Cricetulus griseus: one gene and its partner. The protein of the gene in region 1 binds, or shares a complex with, the protein of each later gene. Links are inferred from orthologs where the notes say so. Each region holds a gene or a part of one and is shown in the gene's direction. Other genes may lie near its edges.

What was found.
Region 2: the proteins of Pfn2 (region 1) and Vasp are in contact, whole or in part, in a crystal structure (PDB 2V8C), measured with the Mus musculus proteins. The link is inferred for Cricetulus griseus from reciprocal best matches to the Homo sapiens genes PFN2 and VASP. Residues at the interface, in NP_062283.1 of Mus musculus: Gly3, Trp4, Ser6, Tyr7, Asn10, Cys13, Tyr30, Trp32, Met131, Tyr134, Ser138, Phe140; in NP_033525.2 of Mus musculus: Gly165, Pro166, Pro167, Pro168, Pro169, Pro170, Gly171, Pro172, Pro173, Pro174, Pro175, Pro176.

What each region holds. Positions count from the first base shown.
Region 1 is NW_023276806.1:93,602,601-93,606,881, forward strand, and holds the start of Pfn2 (profilin-2), read left to right. Parts: upstream 1-1,299; 5' UTR 1,300-1,377; coding exon 1,378-1,509; intron 1,510-3,460; coding exon 3,461-3,653; intron 3,654-4,281. UniProt on the Homo sapiens protein: Binds to actin and affects the structure of the cytoskeleton. At high concentrations, profilin prevents the polymerization of actin, whereas it enhances it at low concentrations. By binding to PIP2, it inhibits the formation of IP3 and DG.
Region 2 is NC_048602.1:28,086,828-28,091,094, forward strand, and holds the start of Vasp (vasodilator-stimulated phosphoprotein), read left to right. Parts: upstream 1-1,256; 5' UTR 1,257-1,393; coding exon 1,394-1,398; intron 1,399-4,267. UniProt on the Homo sapiens protein: Ena/VASP proteins are actin-associated proteins involved in a range of processes dependent on cytoskeleton remodeling and cell polarity such as axon guidance, lamellipodial and filopodial dynamics, platelet activation and cell migration.

The sequences.
Region 1 (4,281 bases):
ACTTTAAATTGACAATAGTGTGCAAGGTTTGGGGGCTTTCTTTCCCTTAATAGGCAGGTCAGGTTTGTGGTTTAAAGCTGGTCACTCAGGTTTGTTGTTGGAGAACATCTATTCTGGGTTTAGACCCAACGCCTAAAGCTAATAAAGATGTAGGAGGAAGTTCAGAGACTCAACTATCTTCCACCCTGTTAAATACAAGTCTTTCTCAGATTTGGATTCTGAAATGATTTCTCACTGTTAGGACAGTGGTGCTCAACTTATGGGTCATGACCCCTTTGGGGTTGCATAACAGTAGCAAAATCACAGTTCTGAAATAACAAGGAAAACAATTTTATGGTTGGGGTCACCACAACATGAGGAACTGTATTGAAAGGTCACAGCTTCAGGAAGGTTGAGAACCACTGCTCTAGAACCTTCCCTAGCTTGGATACTGTGTATTTTCAGCGACGTATGCAACGCACAGAATCTTTTCCAGTTACCAAGTGCACGCAGGTCTGTTTCATTTAGAATTTCTGGATGATCGAGGCCCTGGCATGATTAGCAACACTGGGTTCAGGGCAAAGGTTCCACAGAACCCCAGACTCCTGGTACCCAAGGAGGCAACAAAGAACACGGAGCGCGCTCCCCTGCCGCGGCTCTGATTTCAGTTGCATGCTGCGGAGCAGCTGGCAGAGATCTTCTCCGAGGTTCCTGCCCAAGCATGGGCAACTCTCACTGGCCGCTCCCACCAACCACAAAGAGTAAACCCCGCCGCATCCGTAACCAGGGCAACCCAGCCACCAGACACCGCGGCTGTCAATACCGCATCCAGAGCCAGCGCTGGAGGAGGGCGCACGGTGGACCCGCGTGCGGAGCTCCAGGGGCACCCCACGGCACCCACTCATGCTGCCTCGCCTGGCCTGAAGCCCCGGAGCCGCGCCCCAGCCAGCGCCAGCGGCTAGTCCGCTCTCCTGTCGCACGTGTCAGCCGTGATTGTCCCCGGCGGTATCCATCCGCGCCCCCGCCTCAGCTCCCCCGCCCTTCCCGAGACCCTCGCCGGCCGGCCGCGCTGCGGAAGGATCGCACGCACGCGCGCTCACGTCCCGCTGGCCCCGGAGAACGGAGGGAGCCGCATTGACAGTCAGCCGTCGCCAGCCCCGCTGCCCGCATCGTTCCGCCGCCGCCGCCGCCGCCGGCTCCTGAGCCTCGCGGCCGCGGCCGCCCGCCGCGTCCCCGCTGCGGGTCCTGTCCCCGCCCGCCGCAGTTCCCGGAGAGGGGCGGTCGGTGCCTGCGCAGAGCCGCCTCCTCCCCGCCCCCGCCCCGCCTCCGCCGCCGCCGCCGCCGCCGCCGCTGCGCCTTTGCTCCTGCCGTCCCCGCTGCAGTGCGAAGGGCTCGAAGATGGCCGGTTGGCAGAGCTACGTGGATAACCTGATGTGCGATGGCTGCTGCCAGGAGGCCGCCATTGTCGGCTACTGCGACGCCAAATACGTCTGGGCAGCCACGGCCGGGGGCGTCTTCCAGAGCATCACGGTGAGGCCCTGGGGCGCCGAGCCTGCAGGTGTGCGGCGGGCCTCCGAGGAGGGGACGCCGCCCGCGAGGAAGGGGACGGATGCGGCCGGGGCTTGAGCAAGGGATGCTGCCGGCTCGGGGAGGGGATGGATGCGGCCGAGTCCCTGGATGTGGGCCGCTGAGACTGGGGATGCTGCCCGAGGCCGCGCGGGGGCGGGGCGGCCGGACTCTTAGCCCCGGCGGCGCCCCGGCTTGCGACTGCCGGGGTGGAGGAGGGGACGTCTCCCCGAGAGGCCCCTCGGCGTTCCGGGAGGCCCGTGGGCTGCAGTGCGGGTCCCCGGGTGTGGGCGGGGGTCCTGGGCGGCCGGCTAGCCCCGACTCGGCGGTGAGCGCGGGCTGTGGGAGGCAGCGGTGGCCAGGTCCCTAGAATTAATAGAGTGACTTTGCGTAGGCTTGCCTGTACCCAGGCCTCCTGGGCTGGCAAGAAGGGTACGCGGACCACGTATGTGGAATCGTGAATCTACTTCATCTGTGGCTCTATAGTTTTTTTTTTTCCTCCAAGATGGCGAACTGCCATTGATTTCTCTTCTCCACCTATAGAGATTCATCGATATACCGTTATCCCCAGTTACGCAACCTAGCCCTAAAAAGAGGATGGTTTTAGGGTGGTTAAAAGAAAAAAAAATTATCTGGAAGTCGCGGGAGGGGTGACACTTCTCCAAGTCACTCCCTCTTTAGTGATGGTAGTAAAAGAACTAATACGGATTTATGCTTCACCTTGCTTCATATTCGGGTGTCTTGATGGCTTTTGACTTGGTTGCCACACATTTGGGAGATATTCGTCAATCAGCCTCCAGTACTGCTTATTGTTATGCCCATTTCTACGTAAGGCTCTTTAAAATGTTGACTCCAGTATCAAGTACAAGACCATTCCCTTAATTTCGTAGCCCCACACTCCCACTCTCTTCCTATCACACAGCAAAATTCATGTTTCATATCACAGGTACTCAGCATTTTACTACTTGACATGGTTTAACATATTAGTGTAGATTCAGCCCTTGATAGGAGTGCCTTAGGATCTTCTGTCCCGGTGTGGGAGACTACAATTCCTATATGGAATTGACATTCGGTGATCAACTTTTTTTTTCCTGCAGTCTTGTCTTTGTGTGTGAGTTCCCGCTGTCTGGCTAAGAAGATTGCGGGAGTGTGCTTGGAAATGGCTGGGGCCTGCTATGACTTTGCAGTTCTGATGGGGGCGACGCCTTCCTTCTTATTCATGGAATGTTAGAATGCACGTTTTCTCTTTTCCGGTTCTGGTGGCTACCTCACTTTCTTTACCAGTGCCCCTCCATTTTCTCTATAATTTTACTATCGCCGACGGTAGTGCTGGAGACAGAAAGAAAGCTGATTACTGAATGAAAGGGCAAGGCAAGTTGGAGAGAAAGGAGTAGTGGCTAGAAAATAGGAGGGAAATACGAATTTGGAAATGTCCGCCAGTCTGGTGATTGAGATTCATGCTACCAAGGATATTTCAAGCTGCTCTAAGGAGAGAAGTGAGCAGGTTTATCTGGGGAGACTTTTGCAACTTTAAATTTGTTGCAACATGACTAATGTGGCTGAATATGATAGGCAAGCTGTTGGAAGAGCTTATAGCTGAATCTTTACAATTACATAAGCACCTTCAGGCACCACCTGACGTGATATAGTTTATAAATAACTCGTTTTCAGTTTGTACCTAGTGTCAACTGCCAACTATTTAGGGAGACTCTTTGTATGGTTGGTATTGCACTAGCTTTTAGTTAGCAGAACTCACTGTTAAAATGCAAAGGCAGACTAATGTGTTAAGCGTGTAATCATGTAGGAATAGGCAATAACAGAAAATGTTATCTTGATTTTACATCAGCACTGTTCCTTGTATCAAACTCTGAAAGGAATTAACTGCAATTTTTTTTTCTTTGTTTTGGGTGGCCAGCCAGTAGAAATAGATATGATTGTAGGAAAAGACCGGGAAGGTTTCTTTACCAACGGTTTGACTCTTGGTGCAAAGAAGTGTTCAGTGATCAGAGATAGTCTATACGTTGATGGTGACTGCACAATGGATATCCGGACAAAGAGTCAAGGTGGGGAGCCAACATACAATGTTGCTGTTGGCAGAGCTGGTAGAGGTAAGTGAGCTCTTTCTTATTTTGTGTGTGTGTGCCTAAAAGTTGCATGCCATATTACACTTGAGTTTCTTTAATGGTCTGAATTAAAAACTAGTTCATAATGTCTATGAAGGTGTTTTTGTGAACTGCTCAGCACTGAAGGGGAGGTACTGCTTTCAGTCTGTCTACTTTACAGTTTTTACACTCGAAGCCTCACCTCTTTCACCCTGACTTACTCTAAATTATTAATGTCAACTCTTCATCTTCAGCTTTAGTAAATGAAAATGAAAAGTTGCCCCTTAAACAACCCAGTGTCATAATACTGTGGTATATATGATGCTAAACTGTTCAAGACACCTCGTTATTTTGTCTCTAATGAGTCTTGTGGATCTTTCAAGTTTGCTTAGATTTGAAATAAATTCACTGCTCATCATTAAAAATCACATTGGTTAGTTCTTCTGCCAGGAACATTTCTGAAGAAGAGAGAAATAGTTAAATGAGGGTTTTGGAGTACATTCTCCATTTACTGAACTACTTCTAAAGATTTCAATTTGAAAAGTAGGTAACTACATGCAGTTTACATACTTGACCCACAAACTATGGTACTAATCTCCAGACTTGATATAAAAATTCTAGTTTCAACCTGGCA
Region 2 (4,267 bases), on another chromosome or scaffold:
GGCCGAGCGGGTTGATCCTCCGTGAGTCTTGGGAGGGCTCAACCAAGACGATCATAGGCTAACCCCATCCCCTACCTGCGTGCCTCAGTTTCCCGACCTGTAAAGCAGGAACCGGCGCTTGCCCGGGGTTAACGCCTTTCACCCTGCCAGGTGGAGCTCTACGGGAGGGGGCGTGTCCATATGGTGATGATGTAACTCTGGGCGGGGCCTGCGCGGGGCTCAACTGCGGAAGCCTCGGAGGGTGTCTGGGCTCGACTCCTCCCGGGTGCGCGGGGGGGAGGGGGGGTCCCCAAGGAGGGTCCCTGGGCCTCTGAGCCTACGGGGTGGCTGGGGCGGTCCTACTGTGTGCCGTGGGCGAAACTGAGTCGTAGCTGGGCATGGAGGGGGGCGGATTAGGGGGTCCCACCCCTTCCCCTGCGCTCCGGGTCGGTCCCCACCTTCACCCCCGCCCCCCCACCCCCAACCCCATCCCCCAGCCACGACCCAGCGACGGTGAGTCAGCGGCCCCGCCGCGCCCCCTCGCTCGCCCGCTCGCCCACTTCCTCCACACCTTCCCCGGGAGGGTGGGGGGGCGGCGAGGGGCGGGGCCCGGCCTGAGAAGCCAGATCTGGGGAACACGGAACCTGCGGGAGTGTTACTTAAAGGTGGAAATCGATGAGGTCCCCTTGCTTAACCACAGGGTCCCGCCCCGCCCCACCCCACCCCCCAAAAAAAAGAACTGAGCACAAGAAGTGCACGCACGGAGCGCGCCAGATCCTGCACCCCCCAGATCGCTACCTTTAAGGATTCAATAGTGGGGGCACCTGGGGATCAAAGAAAGGCCGCCTCTCCTTCCCCGCGCTCCCCCCCCCAGCCCAGCCCGGCCCGGCCCGGGGGTGCTGCACCCCCACGCCGCCGGGCTCGGGGAGGCGAGCGATTGCGGAAGCCGGAGGGAGGTTCCGCGTTGCCTTATAAGCGCTCTCCGCCCCCCCCTCCCCTGCGCTCGCCCTGAGCTGTCCGCGGCGCCTTTAAGGCGCGGGGCATTGTGGGCGCGGGGAGTGGAATTTTGGAACGAAATGTAGCAAAGAGAGTACAGTAGTAAAGAGTAGCCGCCGAGGTGCAGCTGGCCGACGGGGTGCGCGGGGGAGGTCCGCTCGCCGCACCCCGCTCTCCAGCGCAGGGGGGGGGGCTCGGTGCATCGGAGCCCCGCAGGGAGGAGGCGCCCGAGGGAGGACCCGCCCCGGCCCGGTCCACGTTCGCTCCGCTCCTCAGGAAGCCGGACTCTACGGGGCGGGACCCCGGGAGAGCCTGAGCACAAGAACCTGGAGCCGGCCCCGCACCCCTGCACTTCCCATCGGGGCCGCCGCGGGAGCCCTCCCCGCGGGCGAGCCGCTCGCCCGCCCAGCGCGCAGCCATGAGGTGAGCCCCGAACCCCACCGCGCGCCCGTGCCAGCCGGGTCCGCGCCCCGCCTTTGTCCCCCTCCCCCCCGGCTCGCCCCAGGCTGCGATCAGGGGACGCGCCGGGCGCCCCAACTCGGAGCCGATCGCCTCCCGGGGCGCTCTGCACTCCCCCCTTTTCCTCCGCGCTGCTCCCCGCAGGCTTGGGGCGGCGCCGGCTGGAGGGGGGGGTCTCCGGGGCTCCGGGGGGGTCAGGCTTGGGGGGCGCTCGCTGTCGGGACTCGGGATTGCAGGACTTTGGGGAGCACCTCCGAGTTGGCGGAGAGGTGGGGCCGTCCCGTGGAAGCCGGGCTGCTCGGAGGAGTCCGTGCCCCAACTCCCGTGCCGTCTTGGGGAGGTGGTGGGAGGCTGGCTGGAGAGCCCGTGCGAGCCGGTGCGAGCCCTGGAACTCTGAGCCCTCCTGGGGGGGCGGGGGGAGGGCGGGGGTCTCCGCACCCCTGCGTCAGGGGCGCGGGGTGAGGGTCCCACCGCGGTTCTTAACTTCGGGGTTACTTCTCGTCGCCTCTAGATGTGGGGGGCTCCTCCTGCAGAGGGGTCCCCTGGAGGGTCTGCCTGGGACTCCCTCCCCCCTGGGTGCCCGGGAGCACTCACCCCAGGCCCAGGGTGGCTCTGTCCCACCCCCCCCACCCACCTGGTGGCTCAGGAGGGAGGGGGCGCGGCAGCTGGGGGAGGGGGGCCTTTGTCTTCCTGACTCACCTGTCGAGACAGCTGGCGTGGGGGGCGGGCCCCCGAGTGAGCACTGTGGGCCAGCTGCTTTCCCCACATCCCGGCCCCTCCCCCTGGGCTCCCAGTGTCGCCCGGTGTCACTCCCCCTTCCCCAAGCCGTGGGATTGGAGGAGGGGGCGCTGGAAAGCGTCAAGGTCACAGCCTTCTCCCTCAGGGACCCAGGCTTCCCGGGCTTCTTGCAGCTCTCTTCTTGGAAATTTAATCCTGGGGGCGGGGGGTGAGGGGAACCCAGGAATTTCTTTTTCTTCTTTTTTTAAATTAATGTCTTCCCTGGACGCGCCTGCCCTGAACTCCTGGGCTCACCTGAGGGCGGGGCCCGGGCCCCCCATCATCTCCCCCTTGGGGTTACATCTTGACAATGCTATCTCCCTTCCTCCACTTTGGCTGGGACTTCCTGCCCCAGAGCCCCTGGCTAGGGGAGGAGTCTCCTGGGGACACTTTGGGGGTGTCCCCCGGTGCGCACATGCTCCACTCTTGGCCCGGGACGTCAGGGTGACATTCCTCTCTAGGACCCCGCGCGAGGACCCCTGCCTCCCTCCCTCCCTCTGGTCTGTCCCTTGGCCTGTGGGAGTGTTGGGATCTGGAAGGGGACCTCGAGACACCCTGGAGACTTCCTGCCTGCCTGTCCTTCCCTCCCCCATGGGAGCGCTGTCCCCCCTCGAGGGGGTCAGTTCCTCACTCCACTCGCCCCCCCACCTCCTGCTGCCCCCAGCCCTGCCCCTCCCCCACCCGTTTCCGGTCCCAGGCCCAGTGGAAGGCGGATGGCGGATGTCCGAGTTAGTGCCGCCTCACTCGCTGAGACCGTAAAAGGGCAGGAGCAACGTCTGGGCCGGCCCCCTAAACCCCCACCCCCAGCCGCGGTCCTCCCGCAGCCCTCCTCCCTCTGACTGACCCGGGACAAACCTCCCTCCCCTGAGGGAGGGCGCAAGGGGGACGGGTGGGTCCCCCACCCCCTTCAGAGAGGGTCTCCCTTGGTCACTTGGTGAGCTGTGTCCCTGTAATCCTGGGACAGCTAGGACTAAAAGAGAGAGGCAGACAGACAGAGACCCGTCCCCCTGTTCCCAGCTGGGTAAACTGAGGCCCAAGACTGAGAAGCCTGGGTCCAGGGCCTTCAGGGGTTCTTGTGCAGTGTTGGGGAAGGGGGTGGGCAGGTTTGACCGGGGGTAGCCGAGGTGGAAAGTTACAAGAAATGGTTCCTTTTCTCCCAGTTTGACAAATATTTGTTGAGTGTCTGCTGCATCCGGGAGCTGGGAAGGCGGGGAAGGGGTCAGAGGTCTGTCTGAAGGCTCTTGGGCAGAGCGGGTTCTGAAAGAAAGCGCCTGGGTTCATTCCTTTCCTCTTGCAGTAATAACAGAAGCGGCGACTGTTATTTTATTTTGAAATGACAGGCGGGTTCGCTCACACGTCTTCGTGCCAGGCACTGTAAATACGGGTCTGATTCCATTTAAACCCCCACCACAGATAAAGTGTGATGCTAGGACAAGTTTTGTGCCCTGGTCTTGACCCCATTTTACAGGTAGTAATATGGAGGCACAGAGACATTAAGGAAATGGCCTATTAAAGTTTAACAGTTTGGGAGCACGGGGTGGTGACTCATGCTTGTAACGGTAGCACTTGGAAGGCCAACTTGGGCTACTGAGTCCCTGTCTCAAAAATAAACATATAAAATCAAACACTTTGGAGGTGGTAACAACCCAACTTGTTTGTACCCAGGACTGTCTAAGTACTGGTATTATAGAAAAAGGAAAATAGAGTCATTTGTGACTTTTTGGTTTTGTTTTTGTACAGATAACTCACTTTTACTATTAAAAAACATTTTTCCCCCCTGCAAAGTCACCCTCTGCTCCATTGTGAGCTTGAGGCCAGCATGGGCTATAGAGTTAAGTTCTAGGTCAGCCTGGACTACGCTGAGCCTGTTTCAATACGCCAACCTCCCAAGCAAACAAGCAAACACCTTTGCCTTCTTTTTCACTTAGGGGAAACTGAGGCCCACTGGATGGAGGGAGTGAAATGAGTCCCCGGAGCCCCATAGACGGAACTTGACCTGTCAAGATGGCATGCGACTGCGTGTGTGTGCGCGTGTGTGTGTGTGTGTGTGTGTGTG